Macaca mulatta: one gene and its partner. The protein of the gene in region 1 purifies or fractionates together with the protein of each later gene. This does not show direct contact. Links are inferred from orthologs where the notes say so. Each region holds a gene or a part of one and is shown in the gene's direction. Other genes may lie near its edges.

Evidence for each region. Proteins that work in one complex are often made in the same cells at the same time.
Region 2: the proteins of NCBP1 (region 1) and PABPN1 purify together in Homo sapiens (co-immunoprecipitation; 3 studies listed by BioGRID and IntAct, with this or other methods). This does not show direct contact. The link is inferred for Macaca mulatta from reciprocal best matches to the Homo sapiens genes NCBP1 and PABPN1.

Annotation. Positions count from the first base shown.
Region 1 is NC_133420.1:60,764,461-60,771,709, reverse strand, and holds the start of NCBP1 (nuclear cap-binding protein subunit 1), read left to right. Parts: upstream 1-2,812; 5' UTR 2,813-3,059; coding exon 3,060-3,093; intron 3,094-7,249. UniProt on the Homo sapiens protein: Component of the cap-binding complex (CBC), which binds cotranscriptionally to the 5'-cap of pre-mRNAs and is involved in various processes such as pre-mRNA splicing, translation regulation, nonsense-mediated mRNA decay, RNA-mediated gene silencing (RNAi) by microRNAs (miRNAs) and mRNA export.
Region 2 is NC_133412.1:96,418,127-96,425,345, forward strand, and holds the start of PABPN1 (polyadenylate-binding protein 2), read left to right. Parts: upstream 1-3,369; 5' UTR 3,370-3,387; coding exon 3,388-3,738; intron 3,739-3,848; exon of another isoform or gene 3,849-3,954; intron 3,955-4,102; coding exon 4,103-4,217; intron 4,218-4,919; coding exon 4,920-4,987; intron 4,988-5,301; coding exon 5,302-5,408; intron 5,409-5,882; coding exon 5,883-5,970; intron 5,971-6,055; coding exon 6,056-6,207; intron 6,208-7,168; coding exon 7,169-7,208; 3' UTR 7,209-7,219.

The DNA of each region.
Region 1 (7,249 bases):
CCAGAATATTCATGAATTAAGAATTACTGAAGTTGATGAGTACATGGGGATGCATCATAAATTTTCCCTACTTTTGTAAATATTTGAAAATTACACAAAAAAAGAAAAAAGGGAAACATAAAGGAAATTTTATGTTTAGAATACTATACAATAAATGACTCCAAATTCATATCTTCAACCTGGGCCTTTCTCCCAAACTACAAATTCACATACCCCACTGCGTGTGAAGCTAGCTAGCTTCAGCTTCAAATACAACTGTTCAAAACCAAACTCTGGTCTTCCCTAGTCTTCCTTATCTGAGTACAAGACAATTTTATTCTTCCGGTTACTCAGACAAAAAAAAACTTTGGGATGATTCCTGACTCCTTATTTTCTCACACTATCATTCACTTGTTCAGAAAATCCTATTTTTTTTTTTTTCTTGAGACAGGTCTCGTTCAGTCGCCAGGTTGAAGTGCAGTGGCATGATCTCAGCTCACTGCAACCTCCGCCTCATGGGTTCAAGTGATTCTTCTGTCTCAGCCTCCCAAGTAGCAGCTGGGAGTACAGCTGGGACTCCCAAAGTGCTAGGATTACAGGCATGAGCCACCATGCCTGGCCAGCTTTGCTTTTGAAGTACAATCTAATCAGATCACTTTGCACCATCATCTTCACTACCACCCTAGTTCAAGCTACTATCATTTGCAGCTTGAATTATTGTAACAGCAGAACTATCTTCCTCCTTTGGGAGCCAGAGAGGTAACTATTAAAAAATAAGTCAGACTGGCCCCGCACAGTGGCTAATGCCTGTAATCTCAGCACTTTGGGAGGCCAGGAGTTCAAGACCAGCCTGGTCAACATGGCGAAACCCCATCTCTACTAAAAATACACAAATTAGCCTGGTGTGGTGGCGCATGTCTTTAATTGCAGCTAATTAGGTGGCTGAGGCACGAGACTTGCCTGAACCTAGGAGGTGGAGGTTACAATGAGCCAAGACTGTGCCACTGCACTTCAGCGTGGGCAACAGAGCGAGACTCTGTCTCAAAAAAAAAAAAAAAAATTCATACTCCAATGACTTCTCAATTTACTTGGATAATGTTCAAAGTCCTTACAGAGCACCTTCTCCCTACCCCTCTGATCTCATCTACTAGTCTCCCATTGTTCACTACCTATGATGGCACTATTTGGGGCTATTCCTGAATGGATCGTTAGAATATATCAGCGCCACGAGAGCAGTGGTTTTCCTTTGTTCACCTCGACATCCTCAGCATTCAGAACTCTGCCTGGCACCTACGAGGTGCTAAATGCTAATAAATACAATATTCGCTGAATGAAATAAAACAGCAATTGGGTAACCAAAGAAGTCCTCACTAAGGACCTGATATTTGAGCTGAGACCTAAGTGACCAAGAGCCAGTCACGCAGATTTAGAACCAGAGACCTTCAGGTAAAGGAAACAGTATAAGTTCCTAAAATAAGAACAAGCTTGACTTATTGTACGAACAGAAAGAGGGTCTGGAGTACAGTGAGGAGAGGTAGAACTCCACAGGCCATGGTATGGAGTGTGCAATGGAAAGTCGAAGGAGACTTTTTTTTTTTTTTAAGACACGGTCTCGCTTTGTCCCCCAGGCTGGAGTGCAGTGGTGTGATCACGGCTCACCGTATTCTCGACCTCCTGGGCTCAAGGGATCCTCCCACCTCCGCCCCCAACCCTCCCCTCGAGTAACTGGGACTACAGGAGCCAAACACTAGGCCCGGCTAATTTTTTTTTTTTTTTTTTTTTTTTTCCCTGTAAAGACAGTGTTCGCCTCGTTGTCCAGATGGGTCTTGAACTCCTAGGCTCAAGCGGATCCGCCCACGTCGGCCTCCCAAAGTGTTGGGATTACAGGCGTTAGCTACCCCGCCCGGCCGTCACAGGAGACTTTTAAACAGAGCAGTAACACGATCTGATTCAGGATTTGTGTTGAAAGGAGAACAGGCAGGGTTTACAGATCATTGTTATGTAAAAAGTGAGGGAAAAGAGCTAAGAAAGACTCTCTAAATTTTTGGATTAAGCAGCCGATGGATGACGTCATTTACTGAAATGGGTAAGACTGAAAGAGAATTAGGCCGGGAGAGTGAAATTTCAGATGGCCATGGACAAAGCAGATAAGCCAGTATGGTACTCATAAAGACATCAGGGCAGGGGACGGTCACACACAGGCATACAGGTACCCAATAACCCTTGATTACTAAAACAATCATTTGTTCCTTCTTAAGCAAACAACTTAGGGAAAATGACAGCCAGCCGGCAAGCCGGGAGCAGCACGCTCGCGTCAGGGCCGGCCTTTCCAACCCAGGGGGAGGCACGTGCGGCACCGCCTCCCGCCCAGGCCCCACCCCGCATGCCGAGCTTGGCCCAACCTCTCCGCCCACTTTTCCCAAGGCGGCAAAAGCCAGAAAGTGGGAGTAGACGAGCACATACCCGCCAGTCCTGATCCTTTCTTAGGTCTCTCTTCCCTGCACTGTTTCCACCTAGCAATTGTTACCGCTCACCGCCCTGCAGTGTGTTCCCCGTCGCGTGTTTGGGTAGAAAAGCTCGTTCGTGACGTCACCAGGCTCCGGAAGTCTCCTGGACGTCGGCGCAAGGGCCGCCGGGAAAACCATTGAGAAGCCCCGGAGGACCGGCCTGAGCGGAGGCGGGGACTAGAGCGGCCGCCGGCACCACCCGCCTTCAGGCGTACGACGACAGCGGTCCGGGGTCTCTGACTGGCCGAAACGGCGGCACTTTCTGCGTGGCCCCGGAAGGACACAGAGCGGAAGGCGGGAGAAAGAAGCAGCCGGCAGGCGGGGGCAGCCTGAGGGGGCGGTTGCGTGTGTGCCCGACGCCCGTAGCCCACTGAGCTTCCTCACGCCGGCTCTAGCAGCGCCGAGCCCACCCGGCGGCCTCTCCTGAGCTTCCGGGAGCCGTGGCGAGCGAGTGCGCCTGCGTGCCGGCCCATCCGCGCGCCTCGCAGCTGTCCTTGCGCCGGCCAGCGGCAGGACAGTTTCCTCGGCGCTTACCGCCTGGTTTCTGGGCTCCGCGGCGCACCGGAGGGCAGCATGTCGCGGCGGCGGCACAGCGACGAGAACGACGGTGAGTACCTGCAGCCCGGCCGCGGAGGCCGCTCCCGGTTGGGAACCGAGGCTCGGCATCTTTGAGTGTCCATGGAAGAGACTGGAAGCTCTTCTCCCCGGGACCGTGTGGGGAGCCGCGGAGGGAAAGAGGGGAATACAGTGGCGGTGTGACTGGGCGGCTTCTAGAAAGCGACTTTTTTTCTCCCGCCCCAGTTCTTTGAGTCAAGGGCCGATCCTCGGGAAAGGAGGCCTGGTGAACCCCATGGGTAGACCCTTGGTCTCTAAGGAGGCTTCAGAATTTGGTCCTTAGCACCACCGAGCAGGGAAGCACACCTGTGTCCGTGCTGCCGCGTCTTAGGGACCCACTGGTCCCAGTGTCTCGTTTTAACCTTCAAAGCTGCACCTGAGAAGGGCTCGGAAGAATTCACTGAAGGAAAGAACTGAGAGATCTCATGAGTTGCAATCTGAACTCTGTTCCGGTAGTGGTCATCCGTTGATTTCCCTTATTTCGAGCTGCAGGGAAAGAATATTGTCTTACCCACGCCCAAGAGGTCCCTAATAAACAGACACAGGTTACTGCAGATTTTGAAGTGGCCGTAAGCGCATTTCCCTCGTGTGAGAGAGAGTGCTAGAAAACTAACTTCAGGCCTCAGAGAGTTAGAACAGGGGTTCCCATCTGCATTTGGATGATTGTGCTCGTGGAGATCATAGTGTTGTCTTCATAAAGACGGAATAATTCTAGTTTTAACAACAAAAAAATGCTTATATTATACATAAGCCTTACAATCGGTCAAAAACACAAATCCACACACCAAAAAAGTGAAACTTAGAGTAATTCTGTTAACGTTTTAGTGTATTGTTTTTTGAAGAGAGTGTAGAGTAGTGGTTAAGAGGTGAGACTTTGGAACCAGAGGGTTTAGATTCAAAGCCAGACCCTACCATTTACTTGGTGATCTTTTCCAGGTTATGTAATCTCCTTAAACTTTAGTCTGTAATATAGACGTAATGATACTTATATCTTCTGGGTTTTGTGAAGGTTAGATGAGGTAATACACATCAGCAACGATGATGTTTTAATCATTTGCCAGCGCTTAAGAGGCGGTAAACGTTAGCAGATGCTGTCAATGTAAGAAAAGAAACCGTAACAGACATTTTAAATTGAGTAAGTTTTATCCATTAACGTTTGTCTCTCCTTGAGTGTTGTGGCAGTTGAGGTGGAGGCAGAATCGCACGCATTTAGTTTTAATAGTGAAACACCAGATTTCTTACGAAGGCGTGGTTTGAGAGGATATTCTAGTCCAGCTTTCTCATCTGACACCTAAGGGTTTAGAGATTGAGCATAACACGGAGAGACAGCTGTCAGTTCCCAAACACCAGCAATAGCAAATCCAGTCCGGGGCTCTCTTCACTACCCAGGTATAAATTAAATAACTATGCTGCATGCTTTGATTTCTAACACAAGAGGCTTCTTGTGTAACCTGTGTGCAAGGCACAGAAAATACAATCCCCTCCCCTTTTTTTTGAGACGGAGTGTCACTCTTGTTAGGCTGGAGTGCAGTGGCGCGATCTCGGCTTACTGCAACCTCTGCCTCTCAGGCTCAAGTGATCCTCCCATCTCAACCTCCTGAGTAACTGGGACCACAGGCGCAGGCCACCACGCCCAGCAATTTTTATTTTTCCCTGTATTTTTTGTAGAGACGGGGTTTCGCCACGTTGCCCAGGCTGGTCTTGAACTTCTGAGCTCAGGCGATCCACCCGCCTCGGCCTCCCAAAGTGCCGGGATTACAGATGTGAGCTACTGCGCCCGCCGATAATACAATTTTCTTATGCTTTGTAATTGACTAATCAAAAACTAATATACTTCTCAAGTCATTACTTGGGGGTTGGAGAACTTGAGTGTTTTGTTCTTTCCAATTTCTTTGTTGTTCTTATGCTTTCTTTCTCTCACTTATAGGTAATCCCTAAAGAGAGAGGAAATGTCATTGTAGGGCATCCTAGAGAATTGGAATGCAAATATGTAGAAAAATAACTTTTGCTTTGGTTATTGGGAGACTTACATAACTTTCTTGGAGTTGGCTTCATTTTAACACCAGCTTGCAGCCAAATCGCTGTCCATTTGGGTCTTGCTGCAGGAACCTCAGAGTAAATAAGACAAGTAAAACAAGGCCTTCATTAAGCAAAAGTTTTTAAGGTTGGTATTTTAGTATGGGAGAGGCAGATACAGTTCATGTTTGATAATACAGCAAATCTGAAATTTTTGTAAATTGCCACAATTTGGATAACAATCAGCTGGAGTTTACCCTACATAGTGATCTGAATCAGATTATTTTGGATACTTTCCTTTTAGTTAAACATCTATTTTTTTAAAAATGAGAACTCTTAGAAGCTTAAGGATTATAGAAGGCTATCTTAAAATAGGCTAGGAATTATTACAGTCAGAATTAAATAGGTGCATCTGAGCATTTCTGGACAGTTGTCAGCTGTTGTCAGTCTCTGCCCTGACTTTCATATGCTTGACACTCACTCTCTCTCTATATATAAAATACTATAATAGAATATATAATATATTTACATATATATATTTTACATAAAATATGTAATTATAACGTGTATACTTTATATATAGAAGCAATCATATGGAAAGTAATATATCTGAAAAATGATTTATTCAACAAATACTTAACAGTGCCAAGCTCTGTCCTAATTACTTGCAATACAGCAGTGGACAATATAAAGATAGAGCCTCCCCTCTAGAGTAGAGAGAAGACAGTCAAGTAAAGTGTAGTGTATCATACAGTGACAGACGCTATGGAGTGATAACAGGTAAAGCGGGCAGAGATTTCTGTGAGGGAGAAGTTACTATTTTATGTAAGTTGGTTAGAGAAGGCCTCATTGTGAATGCCATTTGATCAGAGACTTGCCGGAGGTAAGGTAGCAGCCTTATAGCTGTATGAGGAAAAGCAGTGATCCAAATAAAGGGAACCATGGACGCAAAAGCCTTAAGACTATAGGGTTCCTGTCATGTTCATAGAACAGCAAGGAAGCCAGTGGTGCTGGAGCAGAGTGAGGGGGAAGTTATAGGAGATAAGATTAGAGAGATAGCAGAGGGTTGCATCTTATAGGAAGATTATAAAATTAGACTTCTGTGTTGAGACTTGACTATCAAAGATTCAGGGAGGTAGGATTAGGAGACTGTACCAATGAAGTTCACGTAGTAGTCCATTTATAAACAAGGAAAAGGAAATGCTAAATGAAAAGTAATGTGTATGGATACTAGTCCAGTGCTGAATCTTAATTGCTTAGACTTGCTTTAAAAATGTCTCTGAAGCTTTTTAGTTACTATGGGATATGCAGTCCATTGTTTGTTCTTTTAAGAAAGGATTTAGATTGTTCAAAATCTTAGCCAGAAACAATACGAATACAATTTTGGGAATTTCAGCAATTTACAAAAATTTCAGATTTGCTGTATTAGCCCCATTTAAGCTTCTTAGAATTAGGTCCTTGTCTTTTAGACTGTGGCTGATTTTTTTACTTAACTAAAGAAAAAAATGAATAGAAGTGAAAGGATTTCTTATTCTGGGAGAGTATAGTTTATTTCAGAAGTGATGGTTGCCTCTGTTTTAAATCTGCAGGATCAAGGCATGTTATCTTTCTTTGAAGTTGTTCAATATCAAAATAGATGAGCCAAAAAAAAAAGGAAACAGTGTGCTTAAGTTTTAAAAATGTAATGTTGAAGTTGTTGGTTTTAGTTACTTTACTTTCTTATTTTACAGAGTTGGTTTTTGTTTTCCATTTTGTGGGTCTAAAATTTATTGTAAGGCTATAAGATGTACCAGTGTGCCCATATAAAATTAGGATTGCCTTATAAAGGGGAAATTTGTTTGTTTCTTAAGATCCTTTCAGATGGATTTTATACCTGCTTCTCTATACTAGCCAAGTCTGTCTGAGTGAAGTGGTAATGTTATCTTTAATTTACATTTTAAAACTTTTACATAGTTAAATTTTAATAAAAAAATCTGTTCTTGCCTTGGGAACTACCATAGATATGTTTTCTTCAGGGTACATTGAGCTAATTCCCCAAATTGTATTCATATTGTTTTATTTCATTTCCCTGTTCCCTTACCTAGGTTCTCTTCTGAGTTCAATATCATATTTCTGTTCATAAGTTCAGATTA
Region 2 (7,219 bases), on another chromosome or scaffold:
TCTCAAAAAAAAAAAATTATTCACAAATTGGATTACATTTTTAGAAGAGATAATAGGATTATTGGGTTAAGAATCTCAACTTTTTTTTTTTTTTTTTGGAGACAGAGTCTTGCTCTGTCACCCAGGCTGGAATATAGTGTCATGATCTTGGCTCACTGCACCCTCCACCTCCCAGGTTCAAGCGTTTCTCCTGCCTCAGCCTTCTGACTAGCTGGGATTACAGGCGCCCACCACCACACCCAGCTAATTTTTGTACTTTTAGTAGAGAGAGGGTTTCACCATTTTGGCTAGGCTGGTCTCAAACTCCTGACCTTAGGTGATCCACCCACCTCGGCCTCCCAAAGTGCTGGAATTCCAGGCATGAGCCACCTCGCCTGGCCTTTTTTTTTTTTTTTTTTTTTGAGACAGGGTCTTACTCTGTTGCCCAGTCTGGAGTGCACGTAGCACCATTATGGTTCACTGTGGCCTCAGCCTCCCAAGTAGCTGGGCAGGGACTACAGGCGCATGCCACTATGCCCAGCTAATTTTTGTATTTTTAGTGGAGTATGAGTTTTGCCATATTGCCCAGGCTGGTCTTGAACTTCTGGACTCAGCAATCTGGCTCCCAAAGTGTTGGGATTACAGTTGTGAGCCACTCCGCCTGATCTTAAGAATCTCACCATTTTAAAAGCTTTTGGTACATATTGCCAAAGAATAGAAAGATTGTACTGGTTCTTGCTCCTTTTTTCCTCCCATGCTTAAGTTTTAAAAAAAAAATCATAGTTGTAATTATATTTTATGTACAATTTTACATTCTTCTTTGGCTTAACAAAATTATTTTCACATGTTTGTCACACTAGGTAACCCTTTTAATAGGTGCATAATAATTTTTTCTTGGATATAATTATAGTTTGCTTAAACTTTTGTCTGTTGTTGGATTTAGTCTTTCCATTTTTCACACATAATTTTTATGTATTAAAGCAGGCCTTATAGTAGTTTTGATCTGAGCTTTGAAAGCTGGCTTTGAATTCCCTGCACACTATTATATGTATTACATAATATATATTATGTATTATATATATTATTTATATTTTTTCTTTTGAGACAGAGTCTTGCTGTTGCCCAGGCGATTCTCCTGCCTCAGCCTCCCGAGCAGCTGGGTTTACAGGCATGTACCACCATGCCCAGCGAAATTTTTGTATTTTTAGTAGAGATGTGGTTTCGCCATTTTGGCGAGGCTGGTCTGAAACTCCTGGGTTCAGGTGATCCTCCCGCCTCAGCCTCCCAAAGAGCTGGGATAACAGGCATGAGCCACCGTGCCCAGCCAGCACTGCACACTTCTAATTAGTCCAATGACTTAAGCAAGTTTCTTCATTTCATTAAGCCTTTTTCTTTTTCCCTAAAGAAGATTATGGTTTTGGAAATATTTTCCTCATGGGGTTGTTGTGAGAGTCCAATGAGATAATAAGGAGTGGTGCTTATTACAAAATCAAGCGCTCAACAAAAATAGGATTCAAAGCCATTTTTAAAAATCACATTTCCTTTCATTGGCTTGATTAAATTGGGTACCAATAAGATAAACAAATCTTGATTAGGTTAAGATTAGTATAAAAGACCTTTCTTCCAGGGTATTCAATCATTTAGAGCTTGTCTTCGGTGCTCAACTTTAGTTATCCCAGATCACTGAAGCTGAGATGGCTGATGAAGTAATTTGCAGTGAAATTTTAAGCGACTGTGACTCTGCTCCAAGTTCCCCAGATCTCGAGGTAAGGAATTGTGAGAAAAAGTGGGGGTGAGGGGAATAGTGGGGTATAATGAGTCACTTTTGATTTTTGGTTTGCTAATGAAGATGTTCTCTTGTCCAAATCCCTCTGCCAACCATGTTTGTTTAACTTTTTGGTTGGGCTTATACGTATCTTTCGAACTGTAGGTTAGTGTGCCCACAAAAATTCCTCTTGCAAACTTACACTGCCATTCCTTCCTTTTTAATAAATGTGTTAGATTGCTACAAAAATGTGGCAATTCTGCCCTCCAGGGCTAGGTCTCCTTGATATTTCGGATGCAGCCGTGTAGTGGGAGCCTGCCAGGAGAAATTCCTCTGGGATCTTGGGAGCTTGAGGGCTGAAATGAAGGGTGGCACCCAGATCCCCAATCAATGCATGCTCAATCAACAAACATCTAACAGGACCTTATGTGGTAGGCATATTGCCAGGCTGTGGAGATGTGAATATAAATAGTATCCGGCCCCTCATTTGAAGGCGCTCACAACCTAGTTAAGAAACCACAAAACAATGAAGCGCGCTGTGGAGAGAGGCCCACTTGTCCTGGGAAATGAGGGGAAGCTGAGGTTTGCAGTGGTTTGGTTGAAGGGGAACTACATGTTAGAGGCACAGACTGGGTGCAGGTACACAAAATGGAACGAGAAGGGTGGAAGGAGACATCCACAAAGTAACCACATGCTGGGGTGTCGAAGGCTGTGATTTACCGTTTTGAGGCTTTACCTCGCCTGCAAAGGGGGGCTAGTCTGTTAACGGTGCAGATTGGAAGGGTGACATTGGAAGCTGTCCTGGGAAGAGAAGAAATTGGAACTAGGGAGCAGGAGGTCTACACAAGAGGGTGGGACAGACAGGACTCGTGATTAGTAGCTCTGGACTGAGGAATTCTCCCTGCTTTCTGGTGTGGGAGAGCTAGTGGATGATGGTGCCAATAACCTGGATGGAGAAAGTAAGCTCCCTCCTGGAATGATTCATTCACAACCTCCATTTTCAGCAATATCCCATCTACTAGTGCTTCCTGGTCAGGATACAAGTTTCCTGAAACTGCTGCTCTGTTTTGGGCCTCACCCGGCCAACAGCTCACTAGCTGGCAAGCAGTAGTATCAAGATGGCGGCCCCCTAAGGGCTGGCTAGTCATGTGACTTCGGGTTTTCCAAGTTTGAAGCCGGGCAGTCCGTTCGGGGGCAAGGTTCACCTGTCACGAAACGAGTGTCACTCCTTCGAATCTCGCGAGCCAATCAGCATCTGAGACTGGGCCACTGCGGTGAGGCGATCGGAAGATTGGTCCTTTCCAGTCGCCTAGCTAGGGCCAATCACGGAGCGTCCTATACTTCGCGGGCCCGCCCGTAGGCCGGGGAGAAGCAGAAATATCGTCACAGCGTGGCGGTATTATTACCTAAGGACTCGATAGGAGGTGGGACGCGTGTTGATTGACAGGCAGATTTCCCCTACCGGGATTTGAGAATTTGGCACAGTACCCCGCCTTAGAGGTGGGGTCTCATTTGATTGCCAAGTAATATTCCCCAATGGAGTACTAGCTCGTGGTGACGGGCAGGCAGCTTGACTAATGAGTCCTCGGCGTGGCCGGCGCAGCTCTCCAATCGCCGGGCGGCGGGCCCCAGTCTGAGCGGCGATGGCGGCGGCGGCGGCGGCGGCAGCAGCAGCGGGGGCTGCGGGCGGTCGGGGCTCCGGGCCGGGGCGGCGGCGCCATCTTGTGCCCGGGGCCGGTGGGGAGGCCGGGGAGGGGGCCCCGGGGGGCGCAGGGGACTACGGGAACGGCCTGGAGTCTGAGGAACTGGAGCCTGAGGAGCTGCTGCTGGAGCCCGAGCCGGAGCCCGAGCCCGAAGAGGAGCCGCCCCGGCCCCGCGCCCCCCCGGGAGCTCCGGGCCCTGGGCCTGGTTCGGGAGCCCCCGGCAGCCAAGAGGAGGAGGAGGAGCCGGGACTGGTCGAGGGTGACCCGGGGGACGGCGCCATTGAGGACCCGGTGAGGGAAGGAGGGCGAGCCAGCAGGCCGGCGGCTGGCCGGCCGGGTCACTGGAGGCCCAGAGCTCGGGCGAGCGGGAGGCAGGCGGGGGGTGGGGTTGGGCGGGGAATAACGTGGCTGGGGCCGGGTCGGGCCGGGGATGGGTCAGCGATCACTACAAGGGGCCCGGCTGGCTTGATTCGGGCGTCACGGGTGCCTAGTGTTGTTCTAGAGAGGGTAGCTTGCTTTTCTTTTATCACGACCCTCGCATGGGGCGAGGGAAATGGCCGAGCGTGGCTGAGGCCGCGCTCCGGCCGAGAGCAGGGCACAGCCCCTGCGTTGGTTCCTCTTAAGCTCTCTTCCATACCCTCCCCACTTATATTAGGAGCTGGAAGCTATCAAAGCTCGAGTCAGGGAGATGGAGGAAGAAGCTGAGAAGCTAAAGGAGCTACAGAACGAGGTAGAGAAGCAGATGAATATGAGTCCACCTCCAGGCAATGGTGAGTAACTGGCGGTTGCACGCGGAGCCAGGGTTCTCGGGCTGGAAGGGTTGTGGGGAAGATGGGGAATGTGGGGTAAGATACTCGGCACCCTGGAGCTGCTTGTCTGAGCTATTATGACTGTGCCGCGGTCATAATCCGTTGTGTGTTCGCCTGACCTTTGTGAGGCAGAACCTATATTTTGGTGGTGGTAGCCTTGTGCTTCCCTTTGTCCCTGTTATAATTGTGTTGCTCTTTGTTCTTAGTCTACGTCTATCCTTTGTAGAGGTTGCAAGCTCGCATTTGACCTTCAAATCTAATAGTTTTCTTCCAATTGGAAACGCTTTAGTTAGGATTCTAAGAGAAAGCAAGCTGCAAGGGGTTTCCCCTTTAATCTAGAAATGTGGAGTCTCAGCCCACTTAATTTTGCTCACTCTTAAAAGCATTTCAGCCAAAGCCATTCATTAGGGATTTGATTTGGAGGCAGGAGGGATTCCTATACTGTTGTAAGTGTGTATTAGTTTATTCTTTCAATTTATCGAATGTTTAGTGAGTACCTGCTATGGACTCGGCACTATTCTAGGTTATGGGTACAGCAGAGAACAGAACAGACCAAAATCTTTGCCTTCGTTGAGCTAATGGGATAGTGCTGGTGGTGGAAGTGCAATATATTGGTCAAAAACAAGTGTGTGGTTTTTAAAAAATATTATTTTTTCCTGATAGCTGGCCCAGTGATCATGTCCATTGAGGAGAAGATGGAGGCTGATGCCCGTTCCATCTATGTTGGCAATGTATGTGCTGGGGCTCTGATTGGGGTTGGGGGCAAGTTCTTCTTTTGGGGAGTTATTTAATAGTCCTGGAAGGAACATCTCCGGGATCGGTGTGGTTTTGGGGGTGTGTGGAGGGAGTGTGGGAAGGAGGTTAAAGGTAATGGAATGATCAGTAATCAGCAAAGGCTCTGGGTTTGGAAGCAAAAGGATTAGTTCCTCAAATTACCAGATTTCATGTGCTTTGGTGTATAGATGGCCCAGACCAAAGGCTAGGGAGGGTTCCTGTTGAGACAGGAATTTGCCTGGTGCCTGTGAAATTTTTCTCCTCTCATCAGGTGGACTATGGTGCAACAGCAGAAGAGCTGGAAGCTCACTTTCATGGCTGTGGATCAGTCAACCGTGTTACCATACTCTGTGACAAATTTAGTGGCCATCCCAAAGGGTAAGTAAAGGGGAGTAAGTTGAGATAATTTACAGTGCAAAAATAGATAAATTATGTTTTATAGTGAGCAGTAAGTTATTTGCTGTTAACACAGGTGATCTGTGTCATTTAAGATCATGGCATCAATTTTGATATATATCAAGAGTTGCACCTAAATGTCTTCAGAGGCCAGATAACAAAAATGAAGGCTAGGTGTGGGTGGGATCACAAACTAGAAGGGGAGGGGCAGCTTCTACTTGGCCTGTTATGGCCATATGGAAATTCAGGCCCTGTGTGTCTTATTTTTACAAGTTTCAAAGAGTAGCTGGAAATTTTAAAATTTAAATGATTTTGAATGAAATTTTCCATTTAGAAGAATTTTGACAAATAAAAAATGTAACCACATTGTAGCCCAAAAAGAAGCATGCCTGCAAGTTGAATTTGACTTGTGAGGTATTTGTAACCTCAGAGAGATACAATGACAATTCTTTTCAGATTTGCGTATATAGAGTTCTCAGACAAAGAGTCAGTGAGGACTTCCTTGGCCTTAGATGAGTCCCTATTTAGAGGAAGGCAAATCAAGGTAAGCCTATGTCCATTGCTGTTCTGGTTCTGTATAAACTCTCTGGGTTGACTTTAAGGCTATCATTTGTTCATCTCTGACTCAGGTGATCCCAAAACGAACCAACAGACCAGGCATCAGCACAACAGACCGGGGTTTTCCACGAGCCCGCTACCGCGCCCGGACCACCAACTACAACAGTTCCCGCTCTCGATTCTACAGTGGTTTTAACAGCAGGCCCCGGGGTCGTGTCTACAGGTCAGGATAGATGGGCTGCTCCTCTTCCCCCCCGCCTCCCATGAGCCCTGTATGCTTCCTTCTCTCCTGGTCTGAGGAACCTCCCTCCCCCACCCCTCCCTGTGGTCTTCAGGAACTTTGTCTCCTGCCTGTGCAGGGTGAGGAAGGTAGTTGCAGGCCAGGCCAGAAGGCCAACTTCATCATCTTTTCTGCAGTAGGAATTGGTGATAAGGGCTGCATCCCTCCCTTGGTTCAAAGAGGCTTCCACCCCCAGCCTTTTTTTTCTTGGGAGTTGGTGGCATTTGAAGGTGTTTACACGAAGCCCGGAGGAACAGGGCCTCCAGGCAGTGAAAGCACTGCTTGGACATTTGTTACTTTTTTCTTTTTTCGGAGGGAGGGGTTGAAGACTGAACCTCCCTTGGAAGAATACCAGAGGCTAGCTAGTTGATCCTCCCCAACAGCCTTGTGGGAGGATTTTGAGATATTTACTCTTTATTTGAGCCAGTCTTGCAAGGTTAACTTCTCACTGGGCCTAGTGTGGTGTCCAGGTTTTTGCCTTGCTTCACTTGTCTCTTTACATTTAAATAGACAGGTTAGGCATATAAACCTTGGCTTTTCATAAACTCTACCTGCCTATTCCCAGGAGTTAGGGAGGATCTATTTGTGATGGCCTAGGGTATAAGAGCTGTGGAGGACTGAAAACTGGATAAAAAGAGGGTCGTTTTTCTTGCCCTTGTTTCTCACTCAGATGCACTTCTTTTTTGCCACTGTTTGGCAAAGTTTTCTGTTAAGCCCCCCTCCCCCTGCCCCAGTTCTCAAGGTGTGTTACTATTTCTGGGATCATGGGGTCAGTTTTAGGACACTTGAAAACTTCTTTTCCCCACTTCCCTTCACAGTAACTGGGTCAAGGGCCCACGGGGAGGGGCTTGTACTGAACTATCTAGTGATCACGTTAACACCTAACTCTCCTTCTTTCTTCCAGGGGCCGGGCTAGAGCGACATCATGGTATTCCCCTTACTAAAAAAAGTGTGT